2 linked regions of the Anolis sagrei genome follow. The protein of the gene in region 2 interacts with the protein of the main gene of each other region in a pairwise test. Links are inferred from orthologs where the notes say so. Each region holds a gene or a part of one and is shown on either strand. Other genes may lie near its edges.

The links.
Region 1: the proteins of RASSF1 (region 2) and STK3 interact in binary tests that used the Homo sapiens proteins (3 or more experiments, as listed by UniProt). The link is inferred for Anolis sagrei from reciprocal best matches to the Homo sapiens genes RASSF1 and STK3.

What each region holds. Positions count from the first base shown.
Region 1 is NC_090024.1:31,779,228-31,789,254, reverse strand, and holds the start of STK3 (serine/threonine-protein kinase 3), read right to left. Parts: upstream 4,726-10,027; 5' UTR 4,423-4,725; coding exon 4,400-4,422; intron 1-4,399. UniProt on the Homo sapiens protein: Stress-activated, pro-apoptotic kinase which, following caspase-cleavage, enters the nucleus and induces chromatin condensation followed by internucleosomal DNA fragmentation.
Region 2 is NC_090022.1:72,794,807-72,805,718, reverse strand, and holds the start of RASSF1 (ras association domain-containing protein 1), read right to left. Parts: upstream 4,461-10,912; 5' UTR 4,356-4,460; coding exon 4,055-4,355; intron 1-4,054. UniProt on the Homo sapiens protein: Potential tumor suppressor. Required for death receptor-dependent apoptosis. Mediates activation of STK3/MST2 and STK4/MST1 during Fas-induced apoptosis by preventing their dephosphorylation.

The DNA of each region.
Region 1 (10,027 bases), on a different chromosome or scaffold from region 2:
TTATTATTCCAAGTGAATGAAACTAATGCAATTATGCCTCTCTCTTTGCTCATAATAGAATATCCTGAAGCAGAGCCAGTGATTTCCTACTGAAATGTAAGTCATATGAATATTGCTTTGGTTATTTTGCATTGATCATTGACTGATTTAATTTTGATACTGTGCAATAACTGGGGTGCTATGGTATATATATATTATGTATGTTAAGGTTCCTTTTTATACATGTAAATGTAGTGCCAGAGACTTTACTACTACTAGAATACCACTGAAAGGAACAGAGAAGAATCAATGACCTGAGGAAGGTGTTCCTACTACAAACACCGAAACAACCTTGTAGTAACCTTTGTCACCTCGTAGAACTACCCAGCATACCTTGTAGTAACCTTTGTCACCTCGTAGAACTCTTCTCTGACACTACTACAACTTTGTATGCAACAAATGGTCCTCCAAGATATCTTAAACTGACTATTTGAATCATTAGACATATTCTGTCAATATATTGGATTACTGTGTTTTTTTGTTTTTGTTTTTGTCTTTGGACCATAATTTTTATTTATCGTATCGGGAGCAAACCAAGGGTACAGTTGCAATGCATTTAAAAAAGAACACTTAAAAAAAAACCCTTGGCATTATACTAAATGTCCTTTGACCAGAATCTGGCCACTTGGATTGCCTCTGGTGTGGCTGTGAGAAGGTCCTCCACTGTTCATGTGGTAGGTCTCAGGCTGCATTGTAATACGTGGTCTGCTCTTCTCCACACTTGCATGTCGTGGACTCCACTTTGTGGCCCCATATCTATTCATTTATTTATTTTACATTTGTTATACATTATTTTACAGCAGATTCATATTATTCAATACAACCTACCATACTTTAACTTTTGGCATCTACCTTTATTTTTCTGCTTATACATATTATCTATTCTCACCACTGTGCTCCCCTCCCCACCCCACCCACCCCAAGCCACAACTTTTACATATCATCTGTCCTAAATTTCAGTTCCTCTTGTGGAGGTGCCTTTCCCTCTTTCTTTTTAAATCCTTTTTCAATACATTTCCTCCATACATAATCAAAATCACTTTGTTTCCATATACCTCCTTTTAACTTTTAATATACATGTCAGCTTATCATTTATTGCTAATTTCCACACTTCCTTGTACCACTCCTCTATTTCTTTATTTATTTCTCTTTTCCAATTCCTTGTTATAAGCAGTCTTGCTGATTACTATGTTAATTAAGAGGAGATTGATGGCTCCCATTTGAAATTTATTTACTGACGTTTATTTACAATAGATATAAGATTTGTTCCTTTATGTTGTTTACATAAGTTAAAAAAAACCTGTCGAATGATATAAAACATTTGATGTTTCAAATATAACAATAACATACTATTTCTTGTATCTAAGCATATCTTTCTTTGTAAACCCAATTAGTACATATGCCTATAAATGGTGGAATGCCTCACTGTGACCCCAAGAACTATGATTTTGGGTTGTTGTAGGTTTTTTCGGGCTATATGGCCATGGTCTAGAGGCATTCCCTCCTGACGTTTCGCCTGCATCTGTGGCAAGCATCCTCAGAGGTAGTGAGGTCTGTTGGAACTAGGAAAAAGGGTTTATATATCTGTGGAATGACCAGGGTGAGACACAGGATTCTTGTCTGCTGGAGCTAGGTGTGAATGTTTCAACTGACCACTTTGATTAGCATATAATGGCCTGACAGTGCCTAGAGCAAACTTTTGTTGAGAGGTGGTTAGATGATCCTCTCACCTCTGCAGGAGTCTACCGTATACCATGCAGCTGTGGACAAATCTACATAGGGACCACCAAATGCAGCGCCCAGACACGCATCAAGGAACATGAAAGGCACTGCAGACTACTTCAACCAGAGAAGTCAGCCATAGCAGAGCACCTGATGAACCAACCTGGACACAGCATATTATTTGAGAACACAGAAGTGCTGGACCACTCTCACAACCACCATGTCAGACTACACAGAGAAGCCATTGAAATCCACAAGCATGTGGACAATTTCAACAGAAAGGAGGAAACCATGAAAATGAACAAAATCTGGCTACCAGTATTAAAAAAAACTCTAAAATTACAACAGCACAACAACAGAGAGGAAACAAACAAGGACATCTAATCATCTCTCAACAAAAGTTTGCTCTAGGCATTATTTATTTATTTATCTATCGTGTCATCAGCAACCATACCACTGTATTACATTTCTAACAGAACAAAACAAACACGCAGATTAAAAAAAACAAAAAACTTGGTAGTTGATTAAATGTCCTTTGACCAGTATCTGGCCACTTGCAGTGCCTCTGGTGTTGCCGCAAGGAGGTCCTCCATTGTGCATGTGGCAGGGCTCAGGGTGCATTGCAGCAGGTGGTCAGTGGTTTGTTCTTCTCCGCACTCGCATGCCGTGGTTTCCACCCTGTAGTCCCATTTCTTAAGATTGGCTCTGCATCTCGTGGTGCATCTCGTGGTGCCAGAGCGCAGTCTGTTCAGCGCCTTCCAAGTCGCCCAGTCTTCTGTGTGCCCAGGGGGGAGTCTCTCATCTGGTATCACCCATGGATTGAGGTGCTGGGTTTAGGCCTGCCACTTTTGGACTCTCGCTTGCTGAGGTGTTCCAGCGAGTGTCTCTGTAGATCTAAGAAAACTATGTCTTGATTTAAGTCATTGACGTGCTGGCTGATACCCAAACAGGGGATGAGCTGGAGATGTCTCTGCCTTGGCCCTTTCACTATTGGGTGCTACTTCTCGGCGGATGTCAGGTGGTGCAATACCGGCTAAGCTCTAGGCACTGTCAAGCTCTAGGCCAGTGGTTCTCAACCTTCCTAATGCCGCGACCCCTTAATACAGTCCCTCATGTTGTGGTGACCCCCAACTATAACATTGTTTTCGTTGCTACTTCATAACAGCCATTTTACTGCTGTTATAAATCATAATGTAAATATTAGATATGCAAGATGTATTTTCATTCACTGGACCAAACTGGGCACAAATACCCAATGCACCCACATGTAAGTGGGGTTGGGGGATGATTGATTTTGTAATTTGGGAGTTGTGGTTGCTGGGATTTATAGTTCGCCTACAATCAAAGAGCATTCTGAACTCCGCCAGCGATGGATTTGAACCTAATTTGCCACACAGAACTCCCATGACCAATGGAAAACACTGGAAGGGTTTGGTGGGTATTGACCATGAGTTTGGGAGTTGTAGTTCACCTATATCCAGAGAGCACTGTGGCCTCACGCAATGGTGGATCTGGACCAAACTTGGCACAAATACTCAATATGCGCAAATGTGAACACTGGTGGAGCCTGGGGAAAATAGACCTTGACTTTTGGGAGTTGTAGTTGCTGGGATTTATAGTTTATTACAATCAAAGAGCATTCTGAACTCCACCAACGATAGAATTGGCTCAAACTTCCCACATGGAATTCCATGACCATCAGAAAATACTGTGTTTTCTGATGGTCTTTGGTGACCCCTCTGACATCCCTTAGCAACCCCCTCAGGGGTCCCGACCCCCAGGTTGAGAAATACTGCTCTAGGCACTGTCAAGCCACTGTCAAGGTGGTCATTTGAAACATTCACACCTAGCTCCAGCAGACAAGAATCCTTTGTCCCACCCTGGTCATTCCACAGATATATAAACCCTTTTTCTTAATTCCAACAGACCTCACTACTTCTGAGGATGCTTGCCATAGATGCAGGCGAAACGTCAGGAGAGAATGCCTCTAGACCATGACCATATAGCCCAAAAAAACCTACAACAACCCAGTGACTCAGGCCATGAAAGCCTTCGACAATAAACTATGATTTTGATTATTTGAAACAGGTGGTCATTTGAAACATTCACACCTAGCTCCAGCAGACAAGAATCCTTTGTCCCACCCTGGTCATTCCACAGATATATAAATCCCTTTTCTCAATTCCAACAGACCTCACTACATCTGAGGATGCTTGCCATAGATGCAGGCGAAACGTCAGGAGAGAATGCCTCTAGACCATGGCCATATAGCCCGAAAAAACCTACAACAACCCAGTGATTCAGGCCATGAATGTCTTGGACAATAAACTATGATTTTGATTATTTAAAGTGAAAGGGCACCCCCCCCCCCTTTACTGAAGTTCTCTCTCCTTCTGCTCCTACTGAATTCAATGAATGTGTTTATAGATGGCGGGGTGCCTCCTTGTGACCCCAAAGTCCCTCCAACACAGGGCCAGAGCGAGGCCTCTGGAGGGAGAAGGCCTCCCGGGGGAATCAAAGCAGAGCTGCGGTGCGGCCTAGCCCGGCTTCCTTCCTCCTGGCGCCCAAGGAAAGCCTCGTCCCCACCCGCCCGCCTCTTCCCCTTCCCCGGGGAGAAAGGGAGGCCGCTGGCTGTTACCTTTTCGGCGCGGCCTGCTCCATCCTGACGCCAGCGGCTCCGCAGGTCCCCCTGACTGGGCCTGGCCGAGGAAGGATCCCCTTCAGAAACTCTCCTCACAACTTTCGCCCGCTGCTGGCCCTTTAAAACGCCCCCTCCTCTTCCGGAGCCGCACTTCAATCGCAACCCCTCTGCCACTCAAGCGTTGGCCCACCCACAACCCTTCCTATTGGCTGCAAGGGGGTTCTGCTTAACGGCTATTGGCCCTCGCAAAAGCCAGTCGGAAAGCCAGAAAGCGGAAGAGAAAGTTGCTTCAGGCCCGGTGAATCTACGAAGGGACTCAATGGCCAGGAGGGACCAGAAGGGAGGGATTACGTCATCGTAATACGTCATCGACGGAGGGCCGTAAGGGCTCTTTTGCCCATCATGCACCGCGCCAATATGGTCTCCCAATGGGGAACGGTGCATGCTGGGCAATGTAGTCTTTGCTCATCATAAAACAGGACTCAACAGCAAAACCGCAGAGAGGGAACAACCAGGCACATCTTAACACCTCTCAACAGAACATTTCCCCAGGCTCAGCCAGGCCTTCAAATGCTAATGAAGGTGGTCAGCTGAAACATTCACACCTAGCTCCAGCAGACAAGAGTCCTTTGTCCCACCCTGGTCATTCCACAGATATATAAACCCATTTTCCTATTTCCACAGACCTCACTACCTCTGAGGATGCTTGCCATAGATGCAGGCGAAACGTCAGGAGAAATGCCTCTAGAACATGGCCCTATAGCCCGAAAAAACCTACAGGAACCTAGGAGAGTGATTTTTATACACCTGGATTGATATACACCTGGTACACCTCGCCTGAGGATTATTGTATACCATGTTTTGTAATAATTTTGTGCACACTGAACCATCATAACACAAAGATGCAAAGATGTCACTGTTTTAGGATGCATCTACACTGTAGAGTTGATCCACTTTGACACCCTTTCAACTGCTATGGCTGAATACTGTGGAATCTTGAAAGCTGTAGCTTTATCAGGTGTTCAGCCTTCTCTGAGAAATAATGCAAACCACAACTCCCAGGATTCCATAGCAATGAGCCATAGCAATTAAAGTGGTATCAAACTGAATTAATCCTACAGTGTAGACTAGGCATGGGCAAACTTCATCCCTCCAGATGTTCTGGACTACAACTCCCACAATTCCTAGCAGCGTCAGGCCCTTTCCTTTTCACCCTCAGCCGCTTAAGCGGCTGAGGGTGAAAAGGAAGGGGCCTGAGGCTGTTAGGAATAGTGGGAGTTGTAGTCCAGAACAGCTGGAGGGATGAAGTTTGTCCATGCCCGGTGTAGACGCACTCTGTCACCCATTTAGATAATTTCAGGATGAGGGATGCTCAAACTGTTTAGCAAGCCTTGCAAATGCTGATTTCTTTTCAGTAAATGTTTGGTTTTTATACTTATTTTATTCTTCAATATCTGGGGTCACATAAAATGTTTTCAGGCCAAAACGGGTGGAAAAGTTTAAGAAGCCCTGTTTCTTAAACAATGGGTACCAACCCCAAATGGGTCATTAAAAAAATTGGCCATGTAAAAGTTTTCCAAATGCCACCTAGTGGCTGTTTTAGACATTTACATGAACCTGTTGTGCAGCATTTACAGTGGGCTCAGTAGAAGATGCGGCTGCCGCACTTCATAAAAAAGATCTTGTCCTTTCCCCTTACTACTTTTCTATCCAAAGTCTTAATTGTCTAGTTGTAGTTTTATCAGGGGTTTAGCCTTCTCTGAGAAATAGTGCAGCTCTTATCCTTTTGCTGCTTTATCACCTATACACATTAGACCTACCATTAAATTGTTGTACCAGACCATCCTCCTACAATGAGACTTGAATTGGTGGTTGTTCCTGATGCTTGTTTTATTGTTTTTTATAATGTTGCTTATGTTGTTTTTATATTGATTATTGCATTTTATATTGATTATTGCATGTTATGTTTTAACTGTTGACTGGGCTTGGTTTCATGTAAACTGCCCCGAGTCCCTTCAAGGAGATGGAGGGAGGGTATAGAAATAAAGTTATTATATTATTATTATGTGAAATACAAGATGAGTCCACAGCAAACAAAAACACTTTGCTGGCTGTTGTATTTGATCACACATTGGACACTTCCCAAGTGTCTAGGACTGTGTGATGCATCGGTGAATAATGCATGCAGATCCCTGTAGGGTGGCCTTTTGCAGCTGACAGATGGTAATTTTGTCAGCGCTGATTGTGTTTAAGTGCAGGCCAAGGTCTTTAGGCACTGCACCCACTGTGCCGATCACCACTGGGAACACCTTGTCCGGCTTGTGCCAGAGTCTTTGCAGTTCAATCTTTATATCCTCATATCATGTCAGCTTTTCCAGTTGTTTCTCTTCAATCCTGCTGTCATCTAGGATTGCAAGATTGACAATCCATAAAACTCTGTCTGTCTGAATTCGGAAGTCGCAGAGTAGTTTGACATGTTCATTTTCTGTAACTTTTTCCGGCTTGTGATTCCACCAGTTCTTTACCACAGGCAGGTGGTATTTATGGCACAGGTTCCAATGAATCATCTGAGCAACGGTATTATGCCTCTGTTTGTAGTCTGTCTATGCGATCTTCTTGCAGCAGCTGAGGATGTGATCTATTGTTTCATCTGCTTCCTTGCAGAGTCTGCATTTGGGATCTGTCATCGACTTTTCAATTCTGGCTTTGATGGCATTTGTTCTAATATTTATATTATTTATATTATAAATATAACTATAATATATAATGTATAATAAATAATAATAATTATTATTATTTATTATACATTATATATTATAGTTATTATTGTTGTTGTTATAAAAAGGGAAACCAGGCTGTTTAGCAAGCCTTGCAAATCAGTAAATGTTTTATATATACATATATATCTGAGATCACATAAAGATTTCTCAGGATGAAAGAGCTTGTGAGTGTAGAAGCCCTGGCCTAGGCCAGTTGGATTATTTTGGTTCCTCAGGACCCTTCCACACAGCCCCATATCCCAGAATATCAAGGCAGAAAATCCCACATTATCTGCTTTGAACTGGAATATATGCCAATGTGGACTCAGCTAACCCAGTTCAAAGCAGATATTTTGGGATTTTCTGCCTTGATATTCTGGGATATGGGGCTGTGTGGAATGGCCCTCAGATAGAAAAGGAGGCACGCATCTTTCCTGGAAGTAAAACATAAAATCTAAGGGCCCTCCCACATAGGCATATAACCCAGAATATCAAGGCAGATGATCCACAATATCTGCTTTGAACTGGATTATCTGAGTCACACTGCCGTATAATCTGGTTCAATGTGGATTTTATACAGCTGTATGGTTATTATGAACTGTCAAGCGGCTGATTTTTCATGACCAAATACATCCCTTTAGTGGCCTTTTCCTGTTACCTAATTTTAACATCACAATAATCTGGCATTTGAAGTGCAGGAAAAAATGAAAATACTATTTGCTTCTGGTTAAATATACTTATACTAAAGAAATAAACAATCAAAGGAATTTCCTTCTTCAAACTGAAAATCAAGCATCATAGCAATTGATCCACAGTGTTACTAAAGCATGACTATGGCCCCTTCTACACTGCCATATAAAATCCAGATTATCTTCTTTGAAATCTATTATATGGTAGTGTAGACTCAGGCCCCTTCTACACTGTCATACAATCTAGATTATCGAAGCAGATAATCCACATTATCTGCCTTGAACTGGATTATATGAGTCTGTACTGCTATATAATCCAGTCAAAGATAGATTATATAACTGTGTAGAAGGAGCCTGAAGCTGAATCTACACTGTGCTACATCCCAGAATCTGACCCCAGATTATCTACTTATATTATCTGGCAGTGTAGACTCATATTATCCAGTTCAAAACAAATAATCTGGGATCAGATCCTGGAATATAGAGCAGTGTAGATCAAACCTTAGGTTAGGGTATATACAGTAGGAGTTTTTTCCCTTATGAAATAAAACCTTACATTTAAGGAATTCCTGATCAGACTGCGAATAATCATCCATCCATCCCTCCCCACCTCTTTTTTGTTGCTTTCTTTATATCAGTAGAATAGAATAGCCAGCCACATTGATTTCCATCACATCAATGTCATGGTTTATCCGTTTCCCTCTATTATTGAAGACCTGGATGAGAGAGAAAGAGAAATGCAGTCTCTTTATTCATGAACATTAGTGTCAGAAACATGAAACTGCAACAATGAGAGATGGAAATCTGACACGCTCGCTCTGCATTGGGTGTGAGGAGGATTCGAAGTATGGTGTTAGAGAACCTTGCCCTGTTGAAGAGAATGCACCACATAAATCAGCCAATAACCTTGGCTACATTTGTCTAGAACTAAACCAAAGAAAGAGAAAACAGGCAGAGCAGAAGTCTGTTCCCTTATCAGCTTTAGTAATCTTATTCACACTGAGAGACCAGATGTAACTAAGGGGCCCAGGGAAAAATAAAAAGAAGATGGACTGTAAGAAGATGCACAGTAATGTACAATCTGCATTTACAGTTCAATAAACAGATTGATAATCTGCATATATGGTTCTGCTACGTAAGGGAAATTTCTACAATATCTGCTAGCAAATGCATACCATCCAGTGGGATTCTTATTTGACAGACTGCTGGTGAAAATCAGGGTGTTATTGTGATGATGTCATTAGCGAGACGTCTCAAAAAAGACGTCTCAAAAAAGAAATGACTGAGCATTACCCTATAGTGACAAAAATTAAGTTTGTTCCTGAGTTTCCATCTACATTACCCTATAATACAATTTCATAATGCAGTTTAACTACATTGAACTGCATTAAATATGGGATCAAATTTAGAGTAAGGACCACGGTAATGCACGTCCCTGCCCGGCGAGCTTTATGCTAAACCAGATTTTTCCCAATTGAAAGCACACTCACCAAGACTGAAAGCAGTAACAGAGGCTTATTTGCAACCTGGCCAGATATTTACGTGTACAGCTAGCACCAAAAATACACACATGTTCGCGAATACAGAGACACAAGACTTTATAAACTTGACAGCTATTTAAACTTTCTTGCTCCACCGACTCCCTTCCCTGATTGGCTAGAGGAAGAGCTGGTTTGGATCCGGGCTCCCATTGGCCGCTGTCTCTATGACTTGTCACCTCCATGCAGGGATTCCCCTGGAAGGGATTGATCTGGGGAGTGCCAATCAGCTGTTGAGGGGCAGCTTTTCTGGAATGAGACGAGTCTTGGAAAGTCTGTGTCCACCTCTGGAAATGCAAATAAGTCATTGATTGTTTTCACTGTCTAATTGTTGAGTGATTAAGAAAGTTTCCTGGGAACAGTGAAGGTGAGGTACCCTGAGACAAAAGGTGATGATCCTCTTCTATCAAGCCTTGGGGGCCAGACACAGGAATCTTGTATGCATGTACACTTGGGAGTTCCTGTTTCCACGGTCAGCTGTTGAGTGATCAGCTGGATGAGTACCGGCCAGAAATTATCAGATCTTGCAAAGGAAGCCACCTGTTGTCCAGAAAATGTACACAATGGATCTTGATTGCCAGCTTTGTCTCAGGTGTTGCCCATCCCAGACTAGATTAGCACTACCATATAAAATCCAGA
Region 2 (10,912 bases):
AATTTCCATACTTGTTGACAGAATTTCATTAAAATTAGAGTAGATTCTGTCTCTGTAGACAGAAGCAACTCTATTGGTATACCATCTGTTCCTAGTGATTTATTTTTCCAAGTGCTGATTCACTTTACTCTCTACTTCACTTTCTAAAATTGAAGGTTCATTTCCATGTGGTTCTTCTTTCAATTAATCTGTCAACATTTCATCTTATTTAGACAGTTCTATTTACTGTTTCCATTATTCTTTTGTTTCTACTTCACCATATAATATGTTCCCCCTGCTAGCCATACAGCATCTCCACTTTTGGTTTATATTTTCCTTTCATTTCTCAGATCCTGTGGAAGACGTCCTTTGTTCTTCCTTTTTGTTGTTACCTTCTATTTCTCTGCCTTGATTACATTATGTAACACGATTTTGTTCCTGGGTTATAAATGTCATTTCCTTTCTATTACATTTCATTTCTATTATATGGAAACAAGGAAAAAATATTAAACTGTAAAAACTTTGTTTTTGTGGGACATCCTGGAGACAAAGCAGAGTATAAATAAATAAATATAATAATAATATAGTTTTTTCAATTAATATGTTATTGAGTCTAAACCAATTCAGTATAGTTTGTGGCAGCCACAAAAATGAAGTTTCTGGAGTAGAGCAACTACTTTCAAAGTAAGTACCCAGTGGCACAGCAGGTTAAACCGCTGAGTTGCTGAATTTGCTGACTGAATGGTTGGCAGTTCAAATCCATGGAGAGGGATGATCTCCTGCTGTTAGCCCTAGCTTTTACCATCTTAGCAGTTTGAAAACATGCAAATGTGAGTAGATCAATAGGTACCACTCTGGCGGGAAGGTTACAGCGCTCCGTGCAGTCATGCCAGCCACATGAACCGAACTCAGACTCTTCGGCTTAGAAATAGAGATGAGCACCACCTCCCAGAGTCGGATAGGACTAGACTAAAAAGTAAACCTTTACCTTTATTTTTTACTACCGCACAATTAAAGATGAAATAACACTTTCAAACCAGGAACAGAACATTTTTCACAGTTTGTTAAGTAGTGTTATTATAGTACCTGCACACAAGTTGCTGAACTGTTGCATTCAGGATTCTGACTTTATTTCTGTCATCTTCTTGTCTGTTCTTAACTGCCTGAAGAGCAGTTTTGCCATCCACTGAAGGAACCAACAGGGAAAAAACGCCCCCTCTTGTCTAGCTCCCTGCATAGGTCATCCACTAAAGTGATAAAACTGTCTTTGCCCCATGACCAAGTCTGAAGTTAGATTGAAATTAATCTAAATGATCTGCTTCATCCAGAAACTCCTGGAACTGAGGGACCACTACAAACTCCAGAACTTTTCACAGAAATTGAATATTAGAGACTGGCTAATAGTTATTTAGAATGGTGTGATCCAGGGAGGGTGTTGTTGTTGTTGTTGTCGTTGCTGTCGTTGTTGTTGTTGACTTTATATCAGACACCTTCAGGCAAGCTGGAGGTTTGCTTTATTTTAATGAGACATTAATCTCTCTACTCCTTCAGCCAGTCCCCTACTACCTTTTTTAAAAATATGCCAGTGAGGGCCTTAATCTAACCTGCATGTGGTGGCTTTCATCTCTCTAAGAATCCTGTTCACATTCTTGGATTGCACAAATTGAAAAGTACTGATTGCTACTGGACAAACACGGGCCAAAGTTTCATCCACTGAATCTATATTAATACAGCATCCAAGTCAAAGCAGATATGAATGACTAGATCTGCAAAGAGCCAAGCAAATTGTTGAGTGGTTTGGGTTTTCCTTTTTTGGGCATGTGTGGAAAAGACCCCTGACCGCTTCAAAGAGCAGATAGTAATAATAGTGACAACAACATTGTATTTTCTAAATATATTCATCCAAAGTACAATTGACCTTTCCATTCGTATAGCCTTTCATGTGCTATATTCCATACAGAAAAAGTCAGTTGTCAAATAAGTCTATATGCCTAAAATGTATTTTTAAATGTATATTTTTAGGCTTTTTTGGGGTTTAAAGTTGCAATCCTGTGCATACGCCTTTAAAAGAAAGCCTTACTAACATTAGTTGAACTTCATGGTTTGTAGACATGCTTTGAATTGTGCTACCAGAAGGCACAGACTTTGGAAACTTTGGTAGGGACATTTCAGCCAAAGTCAGTGATGTTCTCCAGGAACAAGATTGGGCAGAAGCTGAGGATACTGCTGAGCAGAATGAGCAGGACAGCTTCCAAATGTACCAGGGCTGCTGTGACATATTTTGGACTAATACACAGGTTGCCATAGGGACTCTGAAGAACCTTACATTCAGAGTCACTAAATAAATCATTGTACTACCTGTCAAAATGTATTCTCACCAAAATTGCAAAAAATACCAGAAAGTTTATGGGTGACGCAGAGCAGGAAGTACTCATTCTATTTGGGGTTGACTGTGGTGGGGTGGCCAAGGTCATGGGCCAATTCTGAACACTCTGTTTCATTTTAGCTCTAGCAGTGGTTCTCAGCCTGTGGATCCCCAGGTGTTTTGGTCTACAATTCCCAGAAATCCGAGCAAGTTTATCAAGTGTTAGGATTTCTGGGAGTTGAAGGCCAAAACATCTGGGGACCCACAAGTTGAGAACCACTGCGAATCTAATCACTTTTCCTCCTAGAGTTGAAAATTCTACAAAATTTGCAAGCAACGCTTTCATGCAAACTTTGATCCAATACATAATGTCCTTTAAAAACAACTCCAACTATCATTTCTCTCTCTGTGCTTTAGCTTTGTTGCTAGGAGTTGAAATAAGAGAATGCACAAAAAAGTATAGACTTACTACAAAAGAGACAAAACTCCTGAGTGTATGAAAACTATCAAATATTAGAAGAATTAGGGACGGCACACACTTCTAGTACAGGATTTATGGACATTCTTTTTTTAAAAATCAAGTACTCAATTTCTTCCTAATATTCAGTCTGGATTGCTTACAAAAATAAAACAGCTTGTATGACCAATTGTGCATCAAGTACAATTTCTATCTTTTCATACTGCTGCAAGGCAGACACACACATTTCTTCCACTAGTGAGGAAAACATGAAAGGGGTGGTTCCTGCTGAGCTTCTGCCTTAAGAGCCTCATCACACTTGAGCATCGATCCACTTCGATCTACTTTAAAAGTTGTGACTGTCTCCTGCAGAATGCTGCGGTGTGTAGTTTAGGGAGGCCTATGGCTTTTCTGGATGAGCAGTTTAAAGGCTCCTACCTAAACTACAAGTCCCAGAATTCTGTACAAAGGGGCTGCGGTGGCTCAGTGGGTTAAACCTCTAAGCTGCAGAACTTACTGACCAGAAGGTCTGCAGTTCGAATCCGCCAAATGGGATGAGCTCCCATTGTTAGCCCCAGCTTCAGCCAACCTAGCAGTTTGAATACATACAAATGTGAGTAGATTAATAGGTACCGCTTCTGCGGGAAGTTAACCGGGCTCCTTGTAGTCATGCCACCCACATGACCTTGGAGGCGTCTACGGACAATGTTGACTTTTACACTTAGAAATGGAGATGAGCACCACAACCCAGAGGTAGACTTAATGTCAAGGGAAACCTTGACCTTAAAGTGGATACATGCTCGAGTGTGATGAGGTTGTAATAGGTGTATTTGTATGTGCCTTCCAGTGGGGTTGCTTGTCAACTTAAGGTGACCCCATGAATTTCATAGGATTCTTAGGCAAGGAATATTCAGAGGTGGTTCTGCTAGTTCTTGATTCAGAAATACAGTCAACAGCAGCTGGCACTGGTTGGCAGTCTCCCATCCAAGCACTAACCAAGGATGACCCTGCTTAGATGCCAAGATCAGATAGGATCTGGTGCCAGCTGCCTGGCCTCTAATATCTCCACATGTGAGAAATTGAAAAACAGAGCCAAAACAAAAGTTTGGGGGATGCTTTTGGGTATTTAGGCCTCGTGGGCCAACTTCGGTAACAGCCGGTAGGCTGTTAGGAATGGCGGGAGTTGTCGTCCAAAACACCCGGAGGGCCGAAGTTGGCCCCTGGCTGAGGGTGGGAGAGGCGCGGGTACTCACGGAGGCACTGGAGGGTCTTCTTGGAGGCGCCCCAGATGAACTCCCCGCAGAGGTCGCACCAGGTGGGCTGGCTCTGGGCGCAGGGCCGGAAGCGGTGCCCCTCGCCCAGCTCCTCGGTCAGGCGGGGGTCGCGCTGCCCGCCGCGGAGGCGGATGAGGCGGACGCGGCTGAGGATCTCGGGCACCTTCCCCTTGGGCGAGATCCGCAGCGCGTTGGCCCGCTCCAGGCGGACGGCGGGGCGAGGCTCCGTCAGGTCCAGGGCCCGCTCCGGCCGCAGCGCCCGCAGCTCGATCATCTCCATGGGCCCCTCCTCGCACACAGGCCGGGGCGCATCCCCACGCTCCCAGGCAGAGGCAGCAGCCTTCCCCCTCCCACTCACTTTCCGCCCGACTTCTTCAACTTCTCTCTCTCTCTCTCTCCCCTCCCCGCCTTTCCCCTCTCCTCCTCCTCCTCCTCCCCCCTTTCGAGGCTGCCAGGAAGAAAACTCACTGGCGGTCTTTGTTGGGAAAATGAGAGCCTCTCTTGAAAGCGGGGTCGCTTCCCTGGCTCTAATTATTGTCTACACCAGCCCGTCTGAACTGAGTGCGGAATGCAACTCGCAAGCAGCAAACTCTCAAAAGCGCGCCAAGGAGGGAGGGAGGGAGGGAGGGAGGGAAGAAGGGAAGGAAGGAAGGAAGGAAGGAAGGAAGGAAGGAGGGAAGGGGGAGGGAGGAAAGGAGGAAGGAGGGGAAAAAGGAAGGAGAGGGAAGGAAGGGGAAAAGGAGGGAAGGAAGGAGAAAAGGAGGGAGGGAAGGAAAGAAGGGAGGAGGAAAAAGGAAGGAGGGGGGGAGGGAAGGAAAGAAAGAGGGAGGGAAAGGGAGGGAGAGAAGGAAGGAAGGAGGGGATGGAAGGGGAGGAAGGAAAGAAGGAAGGAAGAAAAGAAGGAGAGAGGGAAGGAGGGAGAGAAGGAAGGGAAAAAGGGAGGAAAGGAGAAAGGAGGGAAATAAGTCTCTTAACCCTCCTGAGTTGCACTATGTCACACGATTTTTGTTCCTGGCTTATAAATGGTTGTTTCCTAATTGGTTCTATCATTAAAAATACATGGAAAAACGTTTATCAAAGTGCACAAAAACTTTGTTTCTGTGGGACATCCTGCAGCACATTTGCTATGGTTTTTTTTCAATGACTATCTGATAGAGCAGGCCTGGGCAAACTTGGGTCCTCCAGGTGTTTTGGACTTCAACTCCCATCGAGTTGGTGTTAGTTTCCCGGGCTGTATGGCCATGTTCCAGAAGCATTCTCTCCTTACGTTTCGCCCACACCTATGGCAGCATATTTGAGAACACAGAAATGCTGGACCACTCTAACAACCACCGTGCCAGACTACACAAAGAAACCATTGAAATCCACAAGGATTCGTTTGGTGGGGCATCCGCTTGTACGACTGCAACCTCCCATGGTTCCAAAGCATTGAGTTCAATGGGTGTCGAACTGTGTGAATCCTACAGTGGAGATTCACCCAAAGGCAGGGAAGCCGGAGAGAGAGTCTTCGGTCACAGTGAACTCCCAACGTCACTCGTTGGTTTCCGACACGAAGAGTCCCCAACTCTGCCTTCGTGTTTCCCTTTCACGAGTGGAAACTATGCGGGTGGGAGGCAGGATGTGGAAGAGACAGCGCAGAGGGGGACGTGCCGCTTCTCCCGCCTCGAAAGGCAAGGGACGACGCCCCAGTTCTCAAGATGGGGAGTTGTAGTTTGACAAGATTTTAACCCTTCTCTGCCCAAGAGGGCCCCCGTATCACGAAACGACAACCTCCCACGACTCCCTAGCAGTGAGCCAGGACAGTCTGATGTGCTATCCAACTGCATGAATGCAAGTTTCTGGAATGATGCGGCCAAGGGAAGCGGCGGGGTGGCTGCTCCATCTTTAAAGGAGGAGTTGGGAGGGAGACCCAAAAGGGCGGGAACCAAAACAGCGAGGGAAGGGGGGGGGGAGGCGTCTTGGCCGGCTCCTTCCGCAGCTGCGTCTCTATAGCGATGCTTTTGGTTGCTTTGCTGCCGGTCGTTTCTCGGAAGCAGGCAACCGCAAGGCTCCTTCAAGAGGCCTTCGTGTCGCGTGGGAAGAGAAGAAACGGGCCCGAAAGAGGAGCGGGGCCAGGTCGGGGGTGTGTGTGCATCTACACACCTTAGAATTAAGGCGGTTTGACACCCCTGGACTGGACTGAACTGAACTGAACTGAACTGGAGCCCTCGGTGGCACAGTGGGTTAAAGCCTTGTGCCGGTAGGACTGAAGACCGACAGGTCGGAGGTTCGAATCCGGGGAGAGCGCGGATGAGCTCCCTCTGTCAGCTCCAGCTCCTCGTGTGGGGGCATGAGAGAAGCATCCCACAAGGGTGGTAAAACATCAAAACATCCCGGCATCCCCTGGGCAACGGTCAATTCTCTCACACCAGAAGCAACTTGCAGTTTCTCAAGCCATTCCTCATAGGAAAAAAAAGCCTGTAGGAACATTTCTTTCTATCAACATTTATCACACCAAGCATAATGTCATGCCTCTTCTGATTCCTAATCCATCTAAAATGCAGGCGTGTGGTTTTCACCTTAAGAACAGACAAGTGCTGAGGATTACTTGGGAAGAAATCCCACTGGAGCATTGCAGCACACCCAAATACCTGGGAGGCACTCCCGTCTGTGCTCCAACTTATAAGAAGCACTGCCTGAATACCAAGCAAAAAGTGGGTGCTGGAAATAATATCGTACAAAAGCTGACTGGCATAACCTGGGGATCACAACCAGACACAGTGAAGACATCTGCCCTTGTGCTTTGTTACTCTGCTGCTGAATACATATGTCCAGTGTGGAACACATCTCACCGCACTAAAACAGTGGATGTGGCTCTTAATGAGACATGCCACAGTATCACAGGATGTCTACGCCCTTCGCCACTGGAGAAACTATACTGTTTAGCCAGTATTACACCACCTGATCCGTCAGGAAGTAGCAGCCAGTAATGAAAGGACCAAGGCATTGACATCTCCAGCCCATCCTCTGTTCAGATATCAGCCAGCAAGCCAATTCTTTCAATCAAGAAACAGCTTCCTAAGATCTACAGAGATACTCGCAGGGACACCTCAGCAAGCGAGAGTCCCAAAGTAGCAGGCTAAAACCTGGTACCTCAATCAGTGGGCGAGACTGATGAGAAACTCACTCCTGGGCACACTGAAGACTGAGTAACTTGGAAGGTGATGAACAGACTGTGCTCTGGCACCACGAGATGCAGAGCCAACCTTAAGAAATGGGGCCACAAAGTGGAGTCCATGACATGCAAGTGTGAAGAAGAGCAGACCACTTACTACAATGCAGTCTGAGCACTGCCACATGCAGAAAGAAAGGCCTTCTCACAGCCAAACCAGAGGCATTCGAAGTGGCCAGCTTCTGGTCATAGGAAATTTTGTATAAATTTTATAGTATAAAGTTCACCCTGGCCAAGTTTTTCACTTTGTGTTTTTTTTAATGCATTATAACTGTATTTTCAATCAACTTCTGACACGATAAATAAATAAATCTCTCTTTACCTTCTCCCCTCATCCTCTCACTTAAACTGCTCCAAATATCATACTCTTTCCTCTTAGAGGAGTTACTCTACTCCTTTGATCATTGTACAGCTGTATAAATTTTGAGAGGCACTTTTTGTAACCAGAACTGTTATTCCAAGTGTCCTCATACCATAGATCTGTGTGAGTGTAGTATTTATTGGCAGTTTTATTTTGTATTCCTTTTCTGACAGTGCTTTCAGTCCAATTTACCATTTTAAAAAAATATCCAGGGTAGGATCTCTCATTTTTGCAAGTACTGTGTAACTCAGAAGACGCGTACTTTTTGGGAGGAGAGCAATGTCCAATCTCGACAAAATTGTAAAGAGTAGAGACATCACTCTGGCAACAAAGATCCGCCTAGTCAAAGCCATGGTATTCCCTGTAGTCACCTACGGATGTGAGAGCTGGACCTTAGGGAAGGCTGAGTGAAGGAAGATAGATGCTTTTGAGCTGTGGTGTTGGAGGAAAGTTCTGAGAGTGCCCTGGACTGCGAGAAGATCCAGCCAGTCCATCCTCCAGGAAATAAAGCTCGGCTGCTCATTGAAGGGAAGGATACTAGAAACGAAGTTGAAGTACTTTGGCCACATCATGAGGAGACAGCAAAGCCTAGAGAAGACAATTATGCTGGGGAAGGTGGAAGGTAAAAGGAAGAGGGGCCGACCAAGGGCAAGATGGATGGATGGCATCCTTGAAGTGACTGGACTGACCTTGAAGGAGCTGGGGGTGGTGACGGCCGACAGGGAGCTCTGGCGTGGACTGGTCCATGAGGTCATGGAGACGACTGAATGAATGAACAACAACAACTGTGTAACTGGAAAAATCATACCTAAAATGCTTTGTGTAGAGATACAGAATTACAGTGCATATTTCAGTATGCAAAAATAAAATGGTAACAATAACAAAAATCAATCTATTTATTACCAGCCAATAAAACACATTTCTCACAATTACAGATTCATCATTTAAGTCAGGAGATTTGATAAGCTATTATTGTGTTCTTTCATGGAAGATCTTGCACAATGTCCAGCAAATTAGTGTCAACCATTTGAAACTAGCAACATTTTATATTTAACAGCTCTTTAAAAGCTATCAGCTTGAATGAAGTAAGAGCCTTTTAAAATATTGAGAATTTCCTCACAATTGCTTGTCTCACATAATATCTGTTTTTAAGGCCTTATCATTGTGTTGGAGATGTTTAAATCCAGATGTCTTCCAGCACTTTGGAAAATGCCAAGCCATGTAAAGAGAAATGGGAAAATTGAGCTTTCCAGATGTTGGGGAACTCCCCATCAGTGCTATTCACCCTGGCCAATGATCACAGTCATCTATAGCATGTTGGGAGTATATAGCATGGTGAAAGGAGTAGTTAGTCTGGAGAAATAAAATTCTATGTCCCTGATGTAAACCAAAAGTTTAACAGGACAATCAAACCCTTCTTTAGTCAGTATCATAAGGACCTTTCCAGTATTGTTTATGTTCACAAGTATAGTTTCACAGTATTTTTCCCGATAAATTGTAATTGACAGAATGCTTTGATGTTGAGGCTGAGTAAAAGCAAACAGCTTTTACCTGGTTCTGAAAAAAGCCTGGTGTCTTACAGCTGTAGAAACAAGTTAGTAGTTAGATAGGGCTTCAGCTCTTACTCTATAAAACGATGCATCTCACTACATTATCTAGAATCTACATTTTAAGAGATGACATCATCTGGATCCATGGTGCCATTGCTGCTTATACTTTGCTCAGGTCAAGGACCACAAGCTGAGCACATGGTGGTTTGGGGTTAACATCTTTATTCCTCCCAACACTACTTCCTGCCTGTAAACGAATCTCCATCCTTTGTCTTTGTTTAACATCCTTGTCTCAAGAATGTTTTCATTTTGTTTAGCCACAACAGTCTGGTCTCCTTTTAGTCTTTCATTCATGTTTTGTGTGTGTGTGTGTGGTGTGTATATATATCATTTCCTATTGATTTCCTGAAGTTAGAGCTCTACCTCGCCTTCATTATCTCCTCATTTGGATGCATGACATATCTCAAAGCAGGGCTGTCAAGGACACTTCTAGATGCAGGATTTGTGTTTTGTCTGTATTTGTGGGGATATCTTGGCCAAATTACTGTGATACCTCAAGCCATAAGGTGCTTACTTTTGTATTGTTATTGTAAATGTATGTTCTCAAATCTGTGCTGATAAAGTGCAGTTTAAGTAAGGGATCATTGTAAAACAGAATTGGCTCATAGCTACAAATGACTTCAAACAATCATGTGTATGTCTGGTTTCAGAATTTTGTTGGCAGGGGGAAATAACATCTTGAGAGACGTCTGCAGAGATCCGAAGGCATTTGATTTCAGAAATACAGTACTGGAATTATTACTTTTTTTTTTTTTGCAAACATGTAGTTTTACCATTAGCCAAGTTGTAGAGATACAGCAGACTCAGAATCCACTATATCCTTTTCTCCCCTTATACCAAGGTGTGTTGATATAACAATAAAAGGAAGAACAGATAAGAATTATGTTGCCATCCCTTTAAAATGGGACAGAGCCACAGATCCAGATTCCTATTTGCTGCCTACCCAATCTGTGTATCCAGTCTTGACTGTGGCCCTTCCTCACTTTGTACAGCTTCTCCTCCTTCACTTACATTGTTCTCAGCTTCAGAAGAGCCAGGAAAGATCAAGTAGTGATAATGGCTGGCACCTGAGATGTATAGAAATACCACTAGTGTCGTATGTTGCATAAGACTTAGCCCTTCTGCCAAGAGTTATGTTTTTGATCACCTACAAAGTCCAACATAACTGCAAGAGATGCACCTTTCCATTTTCCTCTCAATCTTGTGAGAAGGAGCTGGATCTCCTCCATTACTTCCTTTTCAACAATGTACTGCAGGCTTGTTGCCTGCTGGAAAAGATTGCACGGCTTGGCCTGGATGGCCTCGTGATGGATGAAATAAACTGATCTTCATGCAGCTAACCAAAAATATGGCAGGGTTCCTACTGAGGAATACTGGTGTTGATTGTATCTCATATCCACAACAACTTGTTGCTAATAGTTACCGGGGAACTATATAGTTAAGATTGCTATTTTCATAAAAGCATTTTTTTTCATTTGGAATTGGGGTTAAGGCAAAGAGAACATTGTAGACCTCTCACTCTTGCTTTAGGGCACTTCAGTCTGAAGTCTTACAGTAAATAGGATCCATGTGAATACATTTAAAAATAACCCTGGAAGGGGACGGAAATTGTTCTATTTTTACCATTTCCTTGGAGCAAGTATTTGCCAGGAAAA